Lonchura striata: one gene and its partners. The protein of the gene in region 3 interacts with the protein of the main gene of each other region in a biochemical or structural test. Links are inferred from orthologs where the notes say so. Each region holds a gene or a part of one and is shown on either strand. Other genes may lie near its edges.

Region 1 (7,257 bases), on a different chromosome or scaffold from region 3:
CGGGACCCCCCAGGATTTGGGGGTGCTCACCCGGCCCCTCGATGGCCACCTGCAGGTCGCTCAGGGGTGATTCCCCCCAGGACTTTGGGGATCCCCCCAGGGTGTCAGGGATCCCCCCAGGGTGTCAGGGACCCCCCCAGGGTTCCCGGGACCCCCCAGGATTTGGGGGTGCTCACCCGGCCCCTCGATGGCCACCTGCAGGTCGCTCAGGGATGATTCCCCCCAGGATTCCCGGATTCCCCCCAGGGTTTCGGGGATCCCCCAGGGTTCCCGGGACCCCCCAGGATTTGGGGACCCCCGTTTTCGGGGTGCTCACCCGGCCCCTCGATGGCCACCTGCAGGTCGCTCAGGTCCTGCTCGTTGGGGAACAGCCGGATGCCGTCGGGGGGGTCGGCGCTCAGCAGCGCCACCTCGCGGCACAGCAGCCGCAGCGCCTGCGGCGGCAGGTTCTCGGCCTCGGGGGTCTGGGGGAGATTTGGGGGTCAGGGGCACCCCAAAAACCCAAAATTGGGGTAACCCAGACCCTGATAACCCTGGGGGAGAAGGTTCTCGGCCTCGGGGGTCTGGGGGAGATTTGGGGGGTCAGGGGCACCCCAAAAACCCAAAACTGGGGTACCCCAGACCCAGATATCCTTGTGGTGGGCAGGTTCTCGGCCTCGGGGGTCTGGGGGAGATTTGGGGGTCAGGGGCACCCCAAAAACCCCAAACTGGGGTGACCCAGACCCTGATAACCCTGGGGGAGAAGGTTCTCGGCCTCGGGGGTCTGGGGGAGATTTGGGGGTCAGGGGCACCCCAAAAACCCAAAACTGGGGTACCCCAGACCCAGATATCCTTGTGGTGGGCAGGTTCTCGGCCTCGGGGGTCTGGGGGCAAAAACGGGGGTCAGGGGCACCCCAAAAACCCAAAATTGGGGTAACCCAGACCCAGATAACCCTGGGGTGGGCAGGTTCTCGGCCTCGGGGGTCTGGGGGAGATTTGGGGGGTCAGGGGCACCCCAAAAACCCAAAATTGGGGTACCCCAAACCAGGACATCCCTGGGGGAGAAGGTTCTCGGCCTCGGGGGTCTGGGGGCAAAAACGGGGGTCAGGGGCACCCCAAAAACCCAAAACTGGGGTGACCCAGACCCTGATAACGCTGGGGGAAAAGGTGCTCGGCCTCGGGGGTCTGGGGGAGATTTGGGGGGCCAGGGGCACCCCAAAAACTGGGGGAGCACCCCCAGAATGGAGCAGAGGAGAAGTGGAGAGAAGGCAGGGAGAGATTTGCAGAAAACGGCCCAGAAGTGGGAGATGGAACCCTCCCAGAGGGTTAAAACCAGCTGGGAAAGGGTTAAACCAGCTGGAAAGGGTTAAAAAGGGAAAGGGATCCCCAAAATCTGGGATTTACCCCCGAGGGGAGACCCCAAGATCACCCCCTTGCTACTAAATCTGAGCAGGAAGAAAAAAGTGACAATCGGGGAAAATCACCCAAAAATGAGAGTGAACCCTCCTGAAATGTTTAAATTCACCTGGGAATGGTTAAAAAAGGGAGAAGGATCCCCAAAACCTGGAGTTCACTTCCTGCTAGGAATTAAAAAGTGCCAAAATCGGGGGAAAATCACCCAAAAATGAGAGAGTGAATCCCCTGAAAAGCTAAATTCACCTGGGAATGGTTAAAAAGGGAAAAGGATCCCAAAATCTGGAGTTCGCTTCCTGCTAGGAATTAAAAAGTGCCAAAATCGGGGGAAACTCACCCAAAATGAAAGACTGAACCCCCTGAAATGTTAAATTCACCTTGAAATGGTTAAAAAGGGAAAAGGATCCCAAAATCGGGGATTTCCCTGGGAGGGGAAACCCAAAATCATCTCCTTCCTGCTAGGAATTAAAAGTGCCAAAACTGGGTGAAAATCACACAAAAATGAGAAAGTGAATCCCCTGAAATGCTAAATTCACCTGGGAATGGTTAAAAAGTGAAAAGGATCCGCAAAATCTGGAGTTCACTTCCTGCTAAGAATTAACAAGTGCCAAAAACGGGGGAAAATCACCCAAAACTGAGACTGAGCCCCCAGAAATGTTAAATTTACCTAGAAATGGTTAAAAAGGGAAAAGGATCCCCAAAATCGGGGACTCACCTGCCAAGCGCCGCCTCGGGGCTCCTGGGGAGGCAAAAATTTGGGGTGAATTTGGGGTGGGGAGACCTCAAAAAGCCCCAAATTCCCACTAATCCCCCCCAAAAATCCCTCAGCAGCTCCCCCAAACTCACAGCGCCCCAAATCCTCCCCAAAACTCCCAAAATTTCCCCAAAATTCAACCCAAACACACAGTACCCCAAAACTCCCAACGTTTATCTCAAAACCTCCCCAAATCCCCCAAGTTTCGCCTCCAAACTCCCTCAATTCGCCCCAAATCGACAGAAAATCCCCCAAATTCCTTCAAAGCTCCACAAACTTCACCCAAATCCCCTAAAAATCCCTCAGAACTCCCCAAATCCCCTCAGGACCCCCAAATCCCCCCAAAATCCCCTCAGGATCCCAAAATCTCCTCAAATCCCCCCAAAACCCACCCAGGACCCCCAAACCCCCTCAAATCCCACAAAAAATCCCCTCAGGATTCTAAAATCTTCTCAGGAGCCCCAAAATCCCCTCAAATCCCCCAAATCCTCTCAGGACCCCCCCCAAACTCCTTCAAATTCCCCCAAAATCCCCTCAAATTCCTCAAAGATCCTTTCAGGAACCCCAAATCCCCTCAGGACCCCCAAACTCCCTCAAAAAATCCCCTCAGCACCGCCAAAATGCTCTCAGGACGCCCAAAATTCCCTGAAATGCGCCCAGGATCTCCTCAGGACCCCCAGGATCCCCTCAGGACCCCCAAGCCGCCTCAAATGCCCCAAAAATCCCCTCGAGCGCCCCAGCCCCCCTCGGGACTCCCGGAATTTTCTGCAATCCCACAGAAATCCCTCAGGACGCCCCGCGCCGCCCCGGGCCTCCCTCACCATGGCGCCGGGCTGGGCCCCGGCCGCGCGGGGCTGGCCCCGAGGGGGCAGCGGCTCCCAGGCGGTTCCTCCCGGTCCGGAGCGGGGTCCCGGGGCGCGGGGCTGACCCCTCGGGCAGGGGGGAGGCCGGGGGGCGCCCCCTGTCCCCTCCCCCGGCAGCGCGCTCCCACCTCCGGCGCCGCCGCCCGCCCGCCGCGCTGAGGGGGCCGCTCCGCCGCGCCGCCGCCTTTATAACCTCGGCCGCGCGCGGCCCCCGCCCGCCGCGCGGAGCGACCAATCAGCGCCGCGCGGCGCGCGGGGCGGCCAATGGGGAGCGAGGGAGAAGGCGGGCAGTGCGCGCTGATTGGCGGAGCCGCGAGGGGGGCAGGAGAAGGGGGCGGGGCCCGGGCGCGTTGTTTGCGCCGTAACGGTCGGCGGAAAGGGGCGGGGCCGCCGGTTTGAACGGCGGGGATTGGCGGGCACGCCGGCCAATGGGAAGTGGGGATCCGGCCGCGGGGCGGGACTTCCGGGAGGCGGGGCTCGGCGTTATTGGCAGGCGGAGCGGCCAATCAGAGCGCGGCGTTTGAGGGGGACGAGAAAATCCCCCCAAAATCCCCCCCAACAAGCCCCGCCCCCTCCCCAAAGCCCCGCCCCCCCAATTTTCCCCAAAATCCCCCGAAATGGCCCCAAAAGCGAGGCGGGGGGGGCAGGAAACGTCACTTTATTCCCTCCCCCCCCCGGGGCGGGGGCGGGGCGGGGGGCGGGGCTCTAAGGCACGTGGGGGTCACGGGGAGGTCACGGGGTCACGGGGGGTCACGGGGGGGTCACGGGGTCATCCCCTCCCCCCCTATGGCTTCGGTGCGGGCGTGACGTCATCGGGGAGGGGCGGGGTTTGCGGATGTGTGACGTCACCGGCGGGCCCAGCCCGCCGTGACGTCATCGTGACTGGGGGGAAGGGGCGGGGCCTTGGCCGTGATCGGTGACGTCATCGTCGGGTGGCCCCGCCCCTCGTCGTGACGTCCTGCGGGGGGAGGGGGAATCCACAGTGCTGACGTCATCGGGGCGGCGTGACGTCATCGGGCGGAGCTGTGACATCATCGGCTGCTCGGGGGTGGGGGCGGGGCGGCCGTGACGTCATTGCGTGAGGGGCTGTGACGTCATTGGCCGCGGGGGTGTGACATCATAGTTGGGGTGTGACGTCATCGGCGCCGCCGGGGCGGGGCTGTGACGTCACCAGCTGCCATGTTGTGATGTGTGACATCATCGCGGGGGTGTGACGTCATCGGGGGGGGGAATGTCCCGAATTCCCGGGGATTTCCCCCAAATCTCCGGGCCGGGGCTCGCCGCCATTTTCTGCTTTTTCTGCCCCAATTCCCACCTCGAATTTCGCCTTTCCCCCAATTTTAACCTTTTCCCCAATTTCCACCATTTCCCCCCATTTTTAACCCTTTCCCCCCATTTTTAACCATTTCCCCCCAATTTTCACAATTCCCCCCAATTTTAACCTTTTCCCCCCAATTTATGTCCTTTCCCCCCATTTTTAACCCTTTCCCTCCATTTTCACCATTTCCCCCCAATTTTGTCCTTTTCCCCCTATTTTAATTTTTCCCCCCATTTTTAACCCTTTCCCCCCCAATTTTTGTCCTTTTCACCAATTTTCACCATTTCCCCCCATTTTTAACCCTTTCCCCGCAGCTTTCCCCTATTTTTAACCCTTTCCCCCCGGATTTTTTAACCCTTTCCCCCTGGATTTTTTAACCCTTTCCCCCCGGATTTTTTAACCCTTTTCCCCCGGATTTTTTAACCCTTTCCCCCCGGATTTTTTAACCCTTTTCCCCCGGATTTTTTAACCCTTTCCCCCCGGATTTTTTAACCCTTTCTCCCCCGGATTTTTAACCCTTTCCCCCCGGATTTTTAACCCTTTCCCCGCCGATTTCCCCCCGGATTTTTTAACCCTTTCCCCCCCGGATATTTTAATCCTTTCTCCCCCGGATTTTTAACCCTTTCCCCGCCGATTTCCCCCCCGGCTATTTTAACCCTTTCTCCCCAGGATTTTAACCCTTTCCCCGCCGATTTCCCCCCGGATTTTTTAACCCTTTCCCCCCGGATATTTTAACCCTTTCCCCCCGGATTTTTAACCCTTTCCCCGCCGATTTCCCCCCGGATTTTTTAACCCTTTCCCCCCGGATTTTTTAACCCTTTCCCCCCGGATTTTTAACCCTTTCCCCGCCGACTCCCCTCGCGCTCACACCGTCACCTCGGTGCGGCTCCCGGTGCGCAGCCGGTGCGGCGGCAGGGGCGGCGGCTGCTGGGGCGGGGGCGGCGGCGCGGGGGCGGGCGGGGGTCCCGGCAGCAGCTGCAGCTCGGCCGTGCTCTGCCGCCGCCCCCCGAACAGCGCCCGCCGCGCCCCGGGCCCCGCGGGCGGCGAGAAGGGGGTCCCGGGGGGCGGCGGGTGGTGGGGGAGGGGCGGCGGGGCGTGGGGGGGGGGCGGGGAGGCCGCCCCTCCCCCCGCCGGGCCGAGGCTGCTCTGGGAGGCGGCGTGGGACAGGGGGGGGCGGCGGGGCCGGTTCCGGGGCAGGGTCCCGCCCCCGCCCCCCAAAAACTCCTGGGACAGGACCCGGCGGCCCCGGGGCGGGGGGAGGGGCAGCGTGCCCCGGGGGGGCGGGGCAGCGCCCCAGGGGGGGCCCCAGGGACCCCCGAAATCCTCCAGCTCCCGGTCGGCTGCGGGGAGGGGAGGAAAGGGTTAATGGGGGGAATTCGGGGGGGATTTGGGGCAGATTGGGGGAGATTGGGGGAGTTTGGGGGATTTGGGGGAATTTGGGGGATTTGGGGGAGTTTGGGGAAATTTGGGTGTCTTGGGGGATTTGGGGGGGGTTTGGGGCAGATTGGGGGAGTTTGGGGGAATTTGGGGGATTTGGGGGAGTTTGGGGAAATTTGGGTCTTTTGGGGGATTTGGGGGGGGGTCTTGGGGCAGATTGGGGGAGTTTGGGGGAATTTGGGGGGGTGTTGGGGTATTTGGGGGGGTCTTGGGGCAGATTGGGGGAATTTGGGGGGGGGTTGGGGGATTTGGGAGGGCCTTGGGGCAGATTGGGGAAGTCTGGGGGAGATTGGGGGAGTTTGGGGTATTTGGGGGGGGCTTGGGGCAGATTGGGGGAATTTGGGGGAATTTGGGGGAGTTTGGGGAAATTTGGGTGGTTTGGGGGATTTGGGGGGGTTTTGGGGCAGGTTGGGGGAGTTTGGGGGGATTCAAGAAGTTTTGGGGGGTTTAGGGGATTTTGGGTAATTTTGGGGTGGTTTGGGGGATTTTAGGATGTTTTTCGGGGGGGTTTTGGGGGATTCTGGGGGGTTGGGGTTTTTGGGGTGGATTTTGGGGTTTTGGGGGTATTTCATCGAGGTTTTTGGGATTTTTTGGGGGGGTTTCAGGGCATTTTGGGTGTTTTGGGTCGGGGGGCTCACCCAGGCGGCGCAGCGAGGCCCAGCGGGCGCCGTCGGCCCGGGGGGGGCTCTCGTAGGGCGGGGGGGGGTGCGAGAGGTTGTGGAAGGAGCGGGAGCAGCTCAGGGGGGCGGGGGGGGGCACCCGCCAGTCTGGGGAGGGGAGGAAACGGGGGGTCGGGGGGGGAAAATTCCCCTCCAAAAACCCCCCGAGACCCCCCGAAAAACCACCCCAAAAACCCCCCGAGACCCCCCCAAAAACCCCTCCGAGAACCCCCAAAAAACCCCCGAGACTCCCCCCAAAACCTCCCCGAGACCCCCCTAAAAACCACCCCAAAAATCCCCCGAGACCCCCCTAAAAACCCCTCCGAGAACCCCCAAAAATCCCCCGAGACCCCCCTAAAAACCCCTCCGAGAACCCCCAAAAACCCCCCGAGAACCCCCAAAACCCCCCCGAGACCCCTCCCAAAAACTCCCCCAAAAACACCCCCGAGACCCCCCCAAAAAACCCCCCTAAAAACCCCTCCGAGAACCCCCAAAAACCCCCCGAGACCCCCCAAAAAACCCCTCCGAGAACCCCCCAAAAACCCCCCCAAAAACCCCCGAGAACCCCCAAAACCCCCCTGAGACCCCCCCCAAAAATCCCCCTAAAAACCCCTCCGAGAACCCCCAAAAACCCCCGAGACCCCCCCAAAAAACCCCTCCGGGACCCCCCAAAAAACCCCTCCTGGACCCCGCCAAATAAATAAACAAAAAAAAAACCAAAACCCAAAAATTCTTCCCCAAAAAATCCCAGAGAGACCCAAAATTTTTCCCCCCCGCAAAAAAAAAAAAAAAAAATCTCAAAACCCCCCCGGAAAAAAACCAAAACTCCCCAAA
Region 2 (6,279 bases), on a different chromosome or scaffold from region 3:
TGGCAGAGATGGAGAGCGGAGCCAACATTCCACCATGGACAGTGGAAGCCACAGAGACCACACAGCCAGCAGAGACAAGTGGCACCACACAGAGAGCGGCCTGGGGCGGCCCCTGCGCTGGGCACTGCTGTGGGGTGCTGTGAGCTAGGGGGGCAGGAGATAGCAGCAGAGGTGACACCCCTGTCACAGAGCAGGAGACAGAGGTACCCCTACAGTCCTCAGCCCCTGCCTTTGCAGGTTATGGTGTGGGCTGCTCCCACCCTGTAGATAGAATTGCTCCAGGCCCCCAAATATTGATAAAGCTTTCATTACCCCACAGGGGTCAGTATCCCTTCCACCCTTCACGCCCACACTTGCAGAGGGGCCTCTTGGGCACTCAGGGTGTGCTAGAGCTGCCACAGAATCCCCTGCAGAAGTTATAAACCTGCATTTATTTATACATTAACCATGGCTCGGACTGCGACATTAATTTAAAAACAGCCTATGATACAGAACGCGGGGGATGGCCGGGAGGGAGGGGATGTGTTGAGGGGTGGTGGTGATGGTCAGGTCTCCTGGCTCTTGGTCTGCTTGTTGTACGTCTCCCGCACATACTTCTTGTAGGCTGAGGAAAGAGAGAACATGACACCAAGGGTCCTGAGGCAGTGGCCAGGGAGCTGTGGGGCCAGACAGGCACTGGGAGCTGTGCTGCTGCCCATCCCACTGGGGAGAGGGCAGGAGGGTTCTGCTTCAGGTACTCACCAACTTGGTTGTTCCAGAGCTCAGCAGCATGTGTGTTCAGAGGGCTCTCGATGTTTGGCTCTGGAAACAGTGGCTGCGTTAGCTGGTGACCTGGACACCCTTGAGCCCTGATCTGGGTTGGACAGCCCCACCACCACCACCACCCCTTCCCCCAGCACTCCACAGCAGTTTGTCCGCGAGACCCACCTGCCAGCAGGCTCTGTATGGAGAGCAGGATGGTGCGGACATCATAGAGCGCTGACCACTTTTCCTTGAGGATGTCGAGGCAGATGTTGCCCTGGGTGTCGACGTTGGGGTGGTAGCAGGGGGTCAGGAACCGCACGGTGGGTGCTGTGTAGGGGTACCCACTGGGGAACTCCAGTGACAGCTTGTACCGCAGCTCCTCGTAGGCCTGGGGTGAGAGTCAAGTGGGACAGGAGTCAGGGGGGGCTGTAGCCCCAGAGGTGTGGGGAAGCCTCGAAGAAAAAGAGGTACAAGGGCAATGGAGGGCTAGGAACACCCTCAGCTGAAGGGAGGAAGGTGGGGCAGGGTCAGGGCCACCTCAGACCGGGATTTCGCCTCTCACCGTCCCGGCGGCGCCGTCAATGGTCCCGATCCACTTGAAGAGGTTGTCGGACTCGGGGAAGGCAGAAATGCCTTTGTCACCGGACATCTGCGGGGGCAGCGCGTCAGGGCGGCCCGGGACGCCCCGAGACACCCCCCCAACCCAGTTCAGTCCCGGGTGCCTTTGGGATCCCCAATCCCCGGCTCGGCCCCGGGGCCCCACTCACCATCAATGCCATCAGCTCTTGCTGCAGCCTGCGGAGAAAGCGCACGTTACCGGCCGGCTCACCGGGGCCGCCCCCGCCCTCAGCCCCGGCCCCGGTTCCGCTCACCTCTTCCCCACCGCGCCGCGGGCCGCCGTGGCCCCGGTCTCAGCCGCTTTGCGGGCGGCTGCGCTGGACACGGCGGCGGGGTCGGCGTTCTGTGAGGCCATAGCGGCTCCCGGGGCACGGACCAGCACACTGGCACCGGCCGCCGCTGCCGGCGGGTCACGGGCGGGACCGGCTCCGGCTCCGGCTCCCGGGCGGCGCCGCACCGGGCTCCGCTGCTCTCTCCCTCCCTCCCGCAGTCCCGCTCGGGGCAGGACTCGGGCCCCTCTGCGGCTCCCCGGTGCCGAGCGGCGGTGCTTGGGGCTCTCCCGTGAGGCGGCGGCCCGATCCCAATCCCGTTCCAGACGGTCTCCGATTCAGGAGCGGCTGAGTGTCAAACCCCCTCGGTGCAGAGCGGCTGGGTGCCACCCCCTCTCCGGTGCAGAGCGGCTCGGTCCCAACTCCTCTCCGGTGCAGAGCGGCTGGGCCCAACCACTCTCCAGTGCAGACCGGCTCGATCCCAACTCCTCTCCGGTGCAGGAGCGGCTCAGTCCCAACCCCTCCCCGGTGCAGAGCGGCCCGGTCGCAGCCCCGGGCCCGGACACTCTCCAGTCCGCTCGTCCCGCGCGGCCCCGCCTGCTCCCGCGCCCCGTTTGAATATTTCCACGTGCGTCCCCCCCACCAATCAGCGCGCAGCCCCGTTCGAGCCGGCCAATCACGGCCCGCCGAGGATGCCGCTCCCACGGTAACGGCCGGCGGGCGCCGGCAGTGACGCTCCGCGCTCTGATTGGCCGCTGCCCCGCGGGTCCCGCCGGCCCGGACGCGGCCCGAGCCCGGTGCCCGGTGCCCGAGGAAGCGGCGAGCTGCGAGCGAAGCGGCTTTATTGGGGGGCATCAGGGTTCGGGGGGCTCCTCGGGGGCCGGCACGTCCCCCCCGCGGCGAAGCGTCTCCATGTGCTTCTGCATCTTCTCAGTCATCCAGGCTGGTGGGATGAAGGGCTTCAGCTCTTCCAGCCGCAGATCAACAGAGTCCCTGCGGAGGAACAGGGTGACATGGAGGGACACAGCACCCACTGCCGACCCACCATGTCCCCTGGCACACATCAGTACCAGGCCCAGACCCACCAAACCCACCATGAATCTCAATCAGCACTGAGCCCAAACCTACCATGGATCCCCAACCAACACCAAGTCCAAACCTCAGTTGCCCCATGGGCACCAATCCCCAACCATAACCAAGCCCCCAGCCACCATGCAGAGAGCCCCTCCAGCACGGGACGTCTCTGCAATGTAGCACTGAGGCAGGACATGGTGGGGGCCCCCCAAGAAGCAGCCTCAGGCCCAACAGCACTTTCAGAATTTCTGCTTCGGTCCTCACCTGTAATCCTCACTGGCGGCCAAATCCCGAATGTCCTCTTCAATGAGGAGGTAGGCCTGTGGCACAAGGCAGGGGACACCTCAGGGTGCCTGCGAGGGGCAGCCAGGGCAGGCCCACACCCTCAGCCACCACTGTCCCCGTGGGAGCCAGCCGTGCCTCCTGGCCCATGCCCCAGTCCTGTGGGAGGGGACAGACCTTGGCAGCGCCGTGTCCCCGTGCCCTGCCTATCCTGCCACCGCCGCCTGGCCCCGCGGCGGGCCCTGCGCCCGGCCGTACTCACCATCTTGCCCCCAATGGCCCTCATGTGCTGCTGCTCTGTCAGCCAGTGCTTATCCTGCGGGTCGGCTGCGTACTGCAATAAAGCAGCAAGGACCGAGCTGAGAACGGGCGACAGACCCTCCCCTGAAAGCCCCGCTCTGCTCTGCCCCCGCTCCGCCTGCCCTGCTCCAGCCTCAGCCCTGGCTCTGCCACCCCTGCTGCCTTGGCAGGCTGCGACACCACTGGCTAGTGTTATGTGCTATCCAAACCTTGGGAACACGATCTAAGACAACATACAAGGACATGGGGGAGGCAGTAAGCAAGGGAGCTGAAACATACATTCCTAATTCCCATGGGAAACCATCTGGCTGTGGCACCTGACCTTAAAGAGGTGGGGATGCTTGATGTAGAGTCGCCCTCTTGTTCCTCCCATCCCGAGAGCTCTGCAATAGGAACATGAGGGGTGTTAGGGCTGTGGGGAGGGCAGCTGTGGTAGCACAGGGACACCCCTCTCCTCCCCAAGCCCTTCCTACTGCTTTTGAGGCAGAGAAGCGAAGTGACGGGAGGAGTGTCACGGGCTCCTGCCTGGGGACACCACCCTCCATCGACAGGGCCGTTCCTTACTTGTTTGCTCGAGATCCCAGCACAAAGGTTGTGGTTTCAGTCAGTCGGGATGGATCCCACTACAGAGCAATTGGAAAAGGGGCAACATTAGAAATGAAGTTGCTGCTGGCCATGCTCCACAAGCCTCGGCTCTTTGACAAGGGAACCTTGGAGCTGCCTCCAGACTGGGAGGGAGGGAGCTGGCCAATGACCTCCAGCCTTCCTCAGGGGAGGGATGTTACATTCCGTCTGGGCTGATCTAAGCAGTTTCCCTCGTGGGAAACACTTGTGGGATTCTCCTGGCTACTCCCGGTCTCCTCAGGCCTCCCTCAGCGGCACCACACTGCAGGGCTACAGGCTGGGTGCCTGGGGAGACCAGCAAAGGCCTCCGGGCACTTCGCTTCCTCTTCTTGCTCCCGCCCTGCCCAAGGCCCCAGCAGGGCAGGGCACAGCCCGCGCTGTCCTGCGCTCCTGCTGGTGGGAGCAAAGGGGAGGAGAGAGGGAGCCCAGCAGTGTCGGACAGCTAATACCTTTGGTCCATCCCTTTTCACAGGCTCAGAGACTTTGAGCTTCCACCTGAGGGGAAGGAAAACACAGTAAGAATGAGTCCCAGTGGGATCAGCTTAGTCACCACCAGCAGCAGGGACTGAGCTCAAACCCTTCCAAATCCACCATTTTTTCACACCCTCCATTTCCCCACAGCGCCCGGCTTTGGACCTTCAACTTTGCTGCACATTCTCCTCTCCTGGTTGCCCAGATCCCACCATCCCCTGTGTCTCACCACTCATTCTGGATGGTCCATCTGGACCTTTTCACCCCTTTGGGCCTGTTTAAAAATCCCTCCCTTTAAGGTCTTTGCCTCCTGAGGGGAACACCTCAACCTAACCCTGCTTCTGCCCATACCCAGAAGAGCTCCCATTACTTCTCTGTAAGAGAGGAGTCTGTGGGGTTTCTGTGCTCCCCACACGCAGCCTCATTGTCCCTGCCCTCCCGAAACAGGGGCTCTAGCTCAGGGTTTGTACTCACGTTGCCATGCCTGAGACTCCACGGTCATTTGACAGGCTCTGTCCTGGAGGCCGCCCCTTCCTCTGCATGGAAGAAACCCTTCTGTGACCCAGCTGTGCTGCCTGAGGGAACCCTCTCAGCAACCCTCCCTCTCCCAGGGAAGCTGCTTCTTTTGTCACAGGCAAAAACACTGCCTGCGCCAGAGTGAGCACCTCCAACGCCTCAAAAAAGCTGCCCGTGCACCTCCCTGCACTCACACTGTGGGAATGGCCAGGAATGAGGGCCAGGCTTCCCAAAACATAAACTCTCTTGTGAAGAAAACCATCCTACCTTTTTTGGAATGGGGCTTCCTCGGCGGCTCAGCTCTTCATCCATCTGTCGGGCACGCTGGAAGGGAAGGGCAGTGGGATGAGCAGGGCTCCTCTCCCTACCTGGCCAGGTGAACACTGACCCCAGACCACCCCTGTGAGTAGCACTGAACTGCAGCAAGCAGCACCCACACCTGGGATTCTCTTTGCCCTGCATTCCCTTCAAGCCAAACATCCCCCACTCTGTCTCTGCACTACTGCACTGGCAGCCAAGAAGAGTCAGAGAACAAAGTAATCCCAACTCTTCTCCCAGCTTTCAGAAGTCATTTAAACCTCTGTGTACAATCACCACAATTACCTTTGGCACTGCCTGCTCATGGGGCAACCTGGGAACCACCTTTTTGCCATCTGAGAACAGCAGTTTGGCCTAAAGGGAGACAAAGAAGGTTCCCTGGATTCTGGGCTCAGAGAAGGCCCCATAAACAACCCCCACCTCTACATATCTGCCTAAAAACCCTGCAACAGCTTTGCTTTTGGAGTGCTACCAGGCCACGCTTCCACAGACAGCCAGATGCAAAAGCACAATTTGAGCATGATAAATTCTGGCAAACTGGCAGATAAGCAAGACATGAAAGGAAAAATCCTGGCCCACCCTGCTAGGACCTTCTGACGGGTGCTGGGGGCCAGTTTCTGTGGGACTCCAGCAGTGTGCCATGTTCCTTACAGCAGCAGTGAGAAGAAGCAGCATGAGCTGCCCAGCCCTGACTGCTCCCTTATTCCCAGAGAGAGTCACACAATGGCTGCGGATGTCCCCTCACAGTGACAGCAAAGCTGTAAAGAGGGACACATTCTAGCCAGGTTGCTTTGCTTGGCTGCACACTCAAGAGACACCTCCCCAGCACCCACCTGCTCCAGGCAGCTCCTACAGGTCTCCTGGATGAGCTGCTCTGGGTCCACCTCCTCCCCAACGTTATCACGCACGTTGATTGCTGCTGTCTGGAAAAACTGAAGAGGAGAAGGCAGGAGAGGGTGACAGCCTGCGCAGTGTCAGCTCGGCTCCTGCAGACAGGCGCGATAGCCTCGGTGGCACCGAGCTGTCCCCACGCACCTGCTGCTGCCCACCCGCCCCCAGCGCT
Region 3 (7,359 bases):
CAGAGCAAGCACAAAGCCAAACCCTAATTACAGGACTTTGTTTTTCAGATGTCAGCATTTCCTTTTAAGGAAGTCATTCACAATTTTGATTTTTCTAGGCTGTGCATCTCTCACCACAACTCCCACCACCTATTACTCTTTATAGTAGCCTCCCTTGACAAGTACCTGCATCTAATTTTCACAGGAGTCACACACATACAAATATAGTGGTACATTTGATAATATATGTTAATAAATACAGAACAATATCTAATTAAAAATATTTATCATCTTTATTCACTCCAGTCTGTGGCTTTAAGATTGGATGGCAGCTCCAGGACTCAATAAGATACAAGAGTGACAACTTCCAGGCTTCCCACTGTGCCACACAATGCAGTGGAAAAGTACCTTTGCTTCTCCTTTGCCCCAACTTGGGCTGCCACAGACACACGTGCACGGATCATGCACAACAGAAAATGTTCAACTGTTATGTGAGCAAACACATCTTTATCTCTTCCAAAGAAATGTGGACACTTAAACAAGTGTCCTGCCGGTTGAATCTGGCTTACATGTCACTGGCTGGACCATATTCTCCCAAAAGACAAAACTCTAATGTGCTACAGGAATTTAGATTTGAGTATTTTTGCAGTCTCTGCCAGATAAGGCCAGTATTTGTATATTAGGTTGAACTGCCTAGACATTCCTCCTTTTCTCAGGTAATAGAGAACAAAGAAGAGAGAACTCTAAAACAGCTGCCCTTTCTTCATTGAGACAAAAGCAAAACTTTTGTGTTGTCTGTCCCTAAAATTCGTATTTCAACACCAGTTAGGGGCTAAGGTGCTGGGAGGATTCAGCCAAAGTGCTTCAACTCGTATCATGGTGTGTGGGAGCCCCCTGATCCAGGGTCACAGCAGAAACTCACAATAAATCAGCTGCCCTATTGAGCCCTAGAGTTGCAGCTTCAGACAGAAGCAGCACAGAGAGCCAAGGACAGAAATCACTGCCACCACACCAAAGTAACCTGTCCCCACTCCCACATCATAACCCCACAGATGGGGGTCAGTCTGAAAGGCTAAGGACAGCAAAGCCAGTCCAGCTGCAATCCTGTGCTTCCCAGCTAACACCTGCATTTTTGTCCCTTTCTCTTGTGCATCTAAAACTACCTTGGGTGAACGAGTTAAACCAGCAGAAAATGGAGCCAGCTAACACCTCCTTCCCTGCAAAAGTCAAACTAACCTTCAACAAGTGCCAGTCTCAGTCTGGCACTGCCCCCACCTAAGGTTACTGCAGACGCAGTGGCTCTACAGGAGCCAGACCCGCTCTGGCAGGGTCAACACAGAACTGCTAAACTGAAGTCAGTAATCATCAAATTTCACATTCTAACAATGTGGTTTGTTCCCAAAAAACGGTTACTAGTTTTTTTCAGATTTTTTTTTCTAGTTTCAGATTAAAAGTACTCCCTTGGTCTAGCAATTAAAAAATTAAGACTTTTTTTTTTTAAACTTTTATAATAGCTCTGGGTAAGATTTTAATTTAAGACTTTTTTTATAGTGTTCTGTAACAGCCTAGCTTACAATGGGGACAAATGCATTTTTAAAATTATGGTTTAAATGGCAAATGAAGACAATTTCATATTTCCAGAGTGGTCTCTGTTTACTTGTACACCCTTCTGCCTCCTCTGTTCCAGAGAAAGTTCCCAGCAAAATTATTTAGGAGAAATGACAGAATGGTATATTTTGCCTCATTTATGTTAAACCAAATGCTGATTTCATTTTCAGTATCAGGGTTCCTGGCCCTACAAAAACTAGGTGCTCTGGCGGGAACTTTGGGTCATTTGTCCTGCCGACGTGCTGCAGACCCAACTGCGAGGACAGCTACACCTAGGATGACTCAGTCCAAAATAATTGTAAAAGCTGGACCTGCACACACAGTAAAGGAAGAATTTAAACCGCTTTTGAAGAACTAAGATAAATCTCATATTTGACAAAGATGTCAGAAAACAGTAATATGAGTTAACAATGAAGGTGCTTTCAAACAGTCTCTGGGTTTCAAAACCAAGTAAATTAACCCCTTACTCACTAAATTTCTCAGTACATTTGTGTGTGTTAAACTGCACCAGCAATCACGCTTGCGAAGTAGAGTCTGACACCCTGGTTTAACAGATTTGAAAAATCAATTTTTACGTACATCTGTAACTGCTTCGTAGAAAAAAAAAAACCCTTAACAAAACCCACCCCATAAAGAGCAGCCCCACGCATGCAGCACTGGCTTCAGCTGGGCTCTAAGTCCGTGCTTGCGGATTTGCCCTCATGACGAAGCCGGCACCGCACGGGTCACGGCGCGGCCCGGCCGGGCAGGGCCGGGCCGGGCAGGGCAGGGCTCGGCCGGGCAGGGCCGGGCCGGGCAGAGCCGGGCCGGGCAGGGCCGGGCAGGGCAGAGCCGGGCCGGGCAGGGCAGGGCCGGGCAGGGCAGGGCAGGGCAGAGCCGGGCAGGGCAGGGCAGGGCAGGGCCGGGCAGGGCAGGGCCGGGCAGAGCCGGGCCGGGCAGGGCAGGGCTCGGCCGGGCAGGGCAGGGCAGGGCCGGGCCGGGCAGGGCAGGGCCGGGCCGGGCAGGGCCGGGCAGGGCCGGGCCGGGGGGCTCTCGCTGCCCGACAGGGCCGCCTGTGGCCCCGCAGCGCAGCGGCCCGGCCCCCGCGGGGCCCTCCTCCTCCTCCTCCGGGAAGGCGCGGAGGAGGAAGCGGAGGCGGGAGGGATCAGCCCCCCCTTCTGCCGGAAACCGCGTCTGTGCCCGGCGCCCGCCGTGCCCGGGGCGGCAGGCACGGCCCCAGGCCCGGCCCCGGCCCCCCGCCCGCGGCCATGGCGGCCCGGCCGCCGCTTACCCATGACCTGCACCCGGCAAATGGCGCAGGTGTCGCACTCCACGTCCCAGCTCCACATGGCCACCGCATTCCACTTCTTCAGCGAGAACATCTTGTCGGGGGCGCCCGCCTTGGAGCCCGCGGAGCCCGGCAGCGAGTGGGGGGCGCCGGGCTCGTCCCCGTCCTCCACATCGGCCATGGCGGAGGGGCGGGGACCGGCGGCCGCGCGGGCGGCAGCGCCACCCTCCGGCGGCGGCGGGAGCGGCACGGCGGCGGCGGCGCGGGCCGGGCCCGCGGGGCGAGGAGCCCTCGGAGCCCTCAGAGCCCTCAGAGCCCTCAGAGCCCTCGGAGCCCTCGGAGCCCTCGGAGCCCTCGGAGCCCTCGGGCACCGCTGGCGTTCCACCGGGACACCCGCAGTGCCAGGCTGGCATTGCTGACGAAGGATGTTCTCCTTCGCAGAGCGCAAGTGCAGCAATCCCGACCTCACCCTTGGTCCGGGCTGCCGGGAGTGTGGGGGAGAAGACCCAGTCGTCCAACGCAACACGTTTCCTAGGACTGCTGACAGAACAAGTGAAACACCTCTGCGGTGGCGTGCACCTTGGCCACCTTCGTAAGAAAGTAAAAAATAAAAATTGTATTAAAGATTGCATGTTTGCACATTACTCAACTATCAATTCAGAAGCACCTTGAACACTGTTAAGCAGCATGTTAATAAAGCCTTTTAGCCTGGCTGAATCACACTTCTCTCGATCCACACTGTTCAATTCCCTTTGCCAGCTCCACTCCTTTATCTCATCATTCTTTTCTGTCCATTTTAAAAACCATCAGGGCATTTCTGATTTCAATTACTAGGACTAGATGTAATCCAGAAAGTTTAAAATATTTTTTTAAAAATTAAGTACATTTCATTTCTGCTGTGTAAAATGTCAACTACCTCTAAACAGAGATTTTAAAAAAAGGGAAAAAAATTCTGTTGGAGTTTTGGGGCTTTTAGATTTATACAATTTGCCTTGTATCCCTAAATGATGCAATTCTTCAGTTCTAAGATTCTAAGGGCAAATTATGTCAGATATTATAATTGTGTTTGAGTGCTGTCAAACCATCATACATGTGCTGTACACGATGCAAAGTCAAATATAAACTCCATTTACATTAGCTGTGAAAGTAGAGCAAATATGACACAGGCACTTTGACTCTCTCCATACTGCCTTAGAGAAATAAGTGATAGCTTCCTACCTAAAAATTATTTTCTTGCTATTTTATCAGCTAAAGAGCTGTGTAAGAAAAATTCCAAGCCGTTTTTGAGAAGTAGTTCTGGCAGTCTGTAACTCACCTATCCCCTGCAGCCACAAGGTGGTGGAGCCACCATTCCTGGATGTGTTTAAAAAAGACTGGATGTGGCTCTCAGTGCCATGGTTTAGTTTAGGTGTTAGGGCATGGGTTGGACTCAATGATCTTGAAGGTCTCTTCCAACCTAGTGATTCTATGATTCTGTGAAAATTATTTTTATTAAAAACAAAGCCTTGACAAAAATGTCAGTTTTATGATAATGCAAAGAACAGTTATGTAAGCATGTGTTTATCTTGGCCAACTGATGCATGTACTGGACTGTATTATTCCACTTACTGTTTGTTCTGTCAATAGATTAACATATATCAAAACACTTGAGGACCGTGTCAATTTATCTGCCAAAGAAAACAATTTAAGCTTAAGTCTCTACCAAAACTATTTCTTAAACTCTGGTTATCTGCATCTCTCTGTGCCTCTTTCCCAACAGGAATATGCTACATGGGTCTACTAATGGCCAGTAGGGCTGAGACTTGGCTACAGTGGGGGTGCAAGAGGAAGACAGCACAGGGAACAGTTTGTCACCGCTTGTGACAAACCCACCTGTAGCAGCTCCTAAGGCTTTACTGAATCTGCCAGGTGCAATTGCCAAAATGGAAAACAGACTTCAATGCTGACAGGTACAGTTTCTATGAAACAGAAGCATATAGCAGGCATGCAGAAATACGCAGAAATCACAATAGGAGTTAGGGAAACAATGTATTAGTGGAATAAACTGCCTGCTTTTGCACTGGGAGGATCTCACTGGATGGGAAGAAATCACACAAATATATTGCTGCACAGCATAGCAAAGGGATCCCCATATTCCTATAGATCTATTTGATTTGGCATGAACTTCATAAAAGTCCAGGAATGAGCTCAAAGACTGAGAAGTAGCAATAATTCCAATTCTTAAGTGCATTGTGCTTTACTCTTCAAGTGAAACAAAAGAACGTTAATGACACATAATACACAGAAGGGAAATCCTTACAGAAGTTATGAAAAAAATCCCCTTAACTTCTGCACAGGAACCTCTCTGCTTCAATGGAAAACCCTGTGTCACAAGAGACTAAAGAGATCCTGACTTTGCTGAGCTGCTTTAATCAAGTCTAAACCCTTGGAACTTCTCCATTCTTCACACAACACCCTAGCTCATCCATCTTTCCTTCTGCAGCAGACATTAAAAACCAGTGACACAAAGACTCCTGACTGCTTTATGAAATTCTATACTGTGTTTTTGTTTGCTAATTATTTTACTCTGGAGTAAAACTCAGCTATTACTATTACCTCTGAGCAGTGCTGATTTTCAGGTTAGATGTCTATCTCATATCCATTCTTTAATTTAGAAAACCTATGAAGATAAAATTTTCCCTATTTTAACTGTAGTTAGCTGTTTGAGAATGGACCTGCATTCTGAATTGAAACCTGGAAACCAAATGATGTTGTTCAGTTGTTGTGCAGGGGCACAGCCCCCATCTATTTTGAAATATGGACACTTCCTATAAATTTGTGAGGTAGTACAGTTTGCCTTACTATTTTTAAAATCCCTGATATTTGGATCCTGCCTAGTATCAGGATGGACCCCAAAAAAGCCACTCTTAGAAAATCCAGCCCTCCAATCCACACCAGACCTCCGCTCCGCAAAAAAATCCCTAAAACCACAAAAATAAAAACACTACCAAGAGAAGCCATGTAACTTGCCTATAGAAACTCCCTTTACTCACATATTTAAATTACTGGAAGGTGTTGCACAGGGGAACTTTATCTTCTCATTATTCACCTTTGCAGATGTTATATCCTGTGTACCATGTCACAACTTTTTTTTACCTTGACCTACTTTTCTATTTTTAGATTTTGGCCAAGGTAGTGACAAAAATATGCATTTAAAATTCAAGTATATATAAAAATAATAATAACAAACAGTTATAAATGTCACACCATGACAGAATGGAAGAACTCAGCTGGAGTTACTCAGGAGAAAACTAGATTAATTATTTTGGCTGTCACAGAAATCATTGTTTTGTGTTTCAAAATGTTCTATCTTTCCTCTGGAACTTTTCAAATTTGCATTGCTATACAAAGCATAGTGCCTTCTGTTACCCAGTATGGGGAGACTGAATTGTAGGTACTTCCCCCTTCTTTCATTGAGTACTTTAAAGGTCTGTGGATGAAAGCTGCAGCTAATTGTCAGGTCTGTATTACTGCATTACTCTGGATCACTTGATTCTTAAAGGGGAGTTTCCTTCTTACTCATTTTGTCTCTGCTCCCTGCTTTTTCCAGGCTCGTTTCTGTATCCTGCAGCAGCAGTGTCCCAGCGAGGGCTGAGCTGAACCCAGGAGCTCCAGCTGAGCTCTCAGCAGCTGCTGCAGCGAGTGACCCTCTGGAGCCTCTGCAGCCCAGGATACACACATCAGCCTGTCCCTGCTGCTCTTTGCCACCACAAAGCACAGCACATCCCAGATCTCTGGAGAAATCAGAGGGACCAGGTAAGAGATTTTTACCTTTAAGTCTTGAATTCAAGTCACACAGTAGGTTTACTTGGCTGTTCTATGATCCTCTCGGCTTTTTCCCCCCTGTGTACGAGGAATGACCAAAAATAAAAGATGAAAGTGGGGAACAAATTCACTGCCCCTTAAAGCAAACTAATTGTTTGGATCAATAAAGTTTCTAAAATTGGTATAATTATTTACGTCCTCTTTGGTGAAATTGTTAACTAGACTTCATACAACTGCCATGGCATTTGCAATAGTAATTATGCTAAAATAATAATGGACTCAAACACTGAAAAATCTTGATCATACAAGATTTTCTATGGAAAATTGTGTTAAGCAAGGTGGATGAATTTTATTATTTATCATAAACATTTATTAACATAAATAGTATTTTAGAAGCATTTCAGCAAGGTCATATATTTGCTTTTATTAAAAAATTACCCAAATTATTCTTATATGTAATTAAAATTCTTAATTTCTCTAATTAAATGCTTACAAAGCACAGCCTTTCCTCAACACTGTAGCTACTGGATCTTTTAAAATCTTATTCTCATTGTAAAGCAACTAATTATCAATGTTTTGGTCCCTGATTTAGGTACATAAAGTGCCTTTCTAAGTAATTTAGCTGAATTATAGACTATATTCCCAATTCTTACAACTCTGCTCTTCAACTCTGAAATGAATTTTTTTTAACATTGTTTATT

What was found.
Region 1: the proteins of RNF7 (region 3) and UBE2S form a complex in vitro, tested with the Homo sapiens proteins (3 studies listed by BioGRID). The link is inferred for Lonchura striata from reciprocal best matches to the Homo sapiens genes RNF7 and UBE2S.
Region 2: the proteins of RNF7 (region 3) and UBE2C form a complex in vitro, tested with the Homo sapiens proteins (4 studies listed by BioGRID). The link is inferred for Lonchura striata from reciprocal best matches to the Homo sapiens genes RNF7 and UBE2C.

The regions. Positions count from the first base shown.
Region 1 is NC_134640.1:2,863,060-2,870,316, forward strand, and holds the start of UBE2S (ubiquitin-conjugating enzyme E2 S), read right to left. Parts: upstream 3,046-7,257; 5' UTR 2,971-3,045; coding exon 2,968-2,970; intron 2,132-2,967; coding exon 2,108-2,131; intron 465-2,107; coding exon 317-464; intron 1-316. UniProt on the Homo sapiens protein: Accepts ubiquitin from the E1 complex and catalyzes its covalent attachment to other proteins. Catalyzes 'Lys-11'-linked polyubiquitination.
Region 2 is NC_134619.1:8,178,791-8,185,069, reverse strand, and holds UBE2C (ubiquitin-conjugating enzyme E2 C), read right to left. Parts: upstream 1,718-6,279; coding exon 1,617-1,717; intron 1,540-1,616; coding exon 1,512-1,539; intron 1,394-1,511; coding exon 1,307-1,393; intron 1,133-1,306; coding exon 928-1,132; intron 802-927; coding exon 742-801; intron 605-741; coding exon 546-604; downstream 1-545. Other genes in the region: regulator of G-protein signaling 9-binding protein-like, read left to right, coding at 1-143; DNTTIP1 (deoxynucleotidyltransferase terminal-interacting protein 1), read right to left, coding at 2,486-2,624, 2,970-3,025, 3,250-3,321, 3,610-3,670, 3,852-3,910, 4,361-4,406, 4,857-4,918, 5,166-5,222 and 2 more. UniProt on the Homo sapiens protein: Accepts ubiquitin from the E1 complex and catalyzes its covalent attachment to other proteins. In vitro catalyzes 'Lys-11'- and 'Lys-48'-linked polyubiquitination.
Region 3 is NC_134612.1:12,595,075-12,602,433, reverse strand, and holds the start of RNF7 (RING-box protein 2), read right to left. Parts: upstream 3,070-7,359; 5' UTR 3,036-3,069; coding exon 2,858-3,035; intron 1-2,857. UniProt on the Homo sapiens protein: Catalytic component of multiple cullin-5-RING E3 ubiquitin-protein ligase complexes (ECS complexes), which mediate the ubiquitination and subsequent proteasomal degradation of target proteins.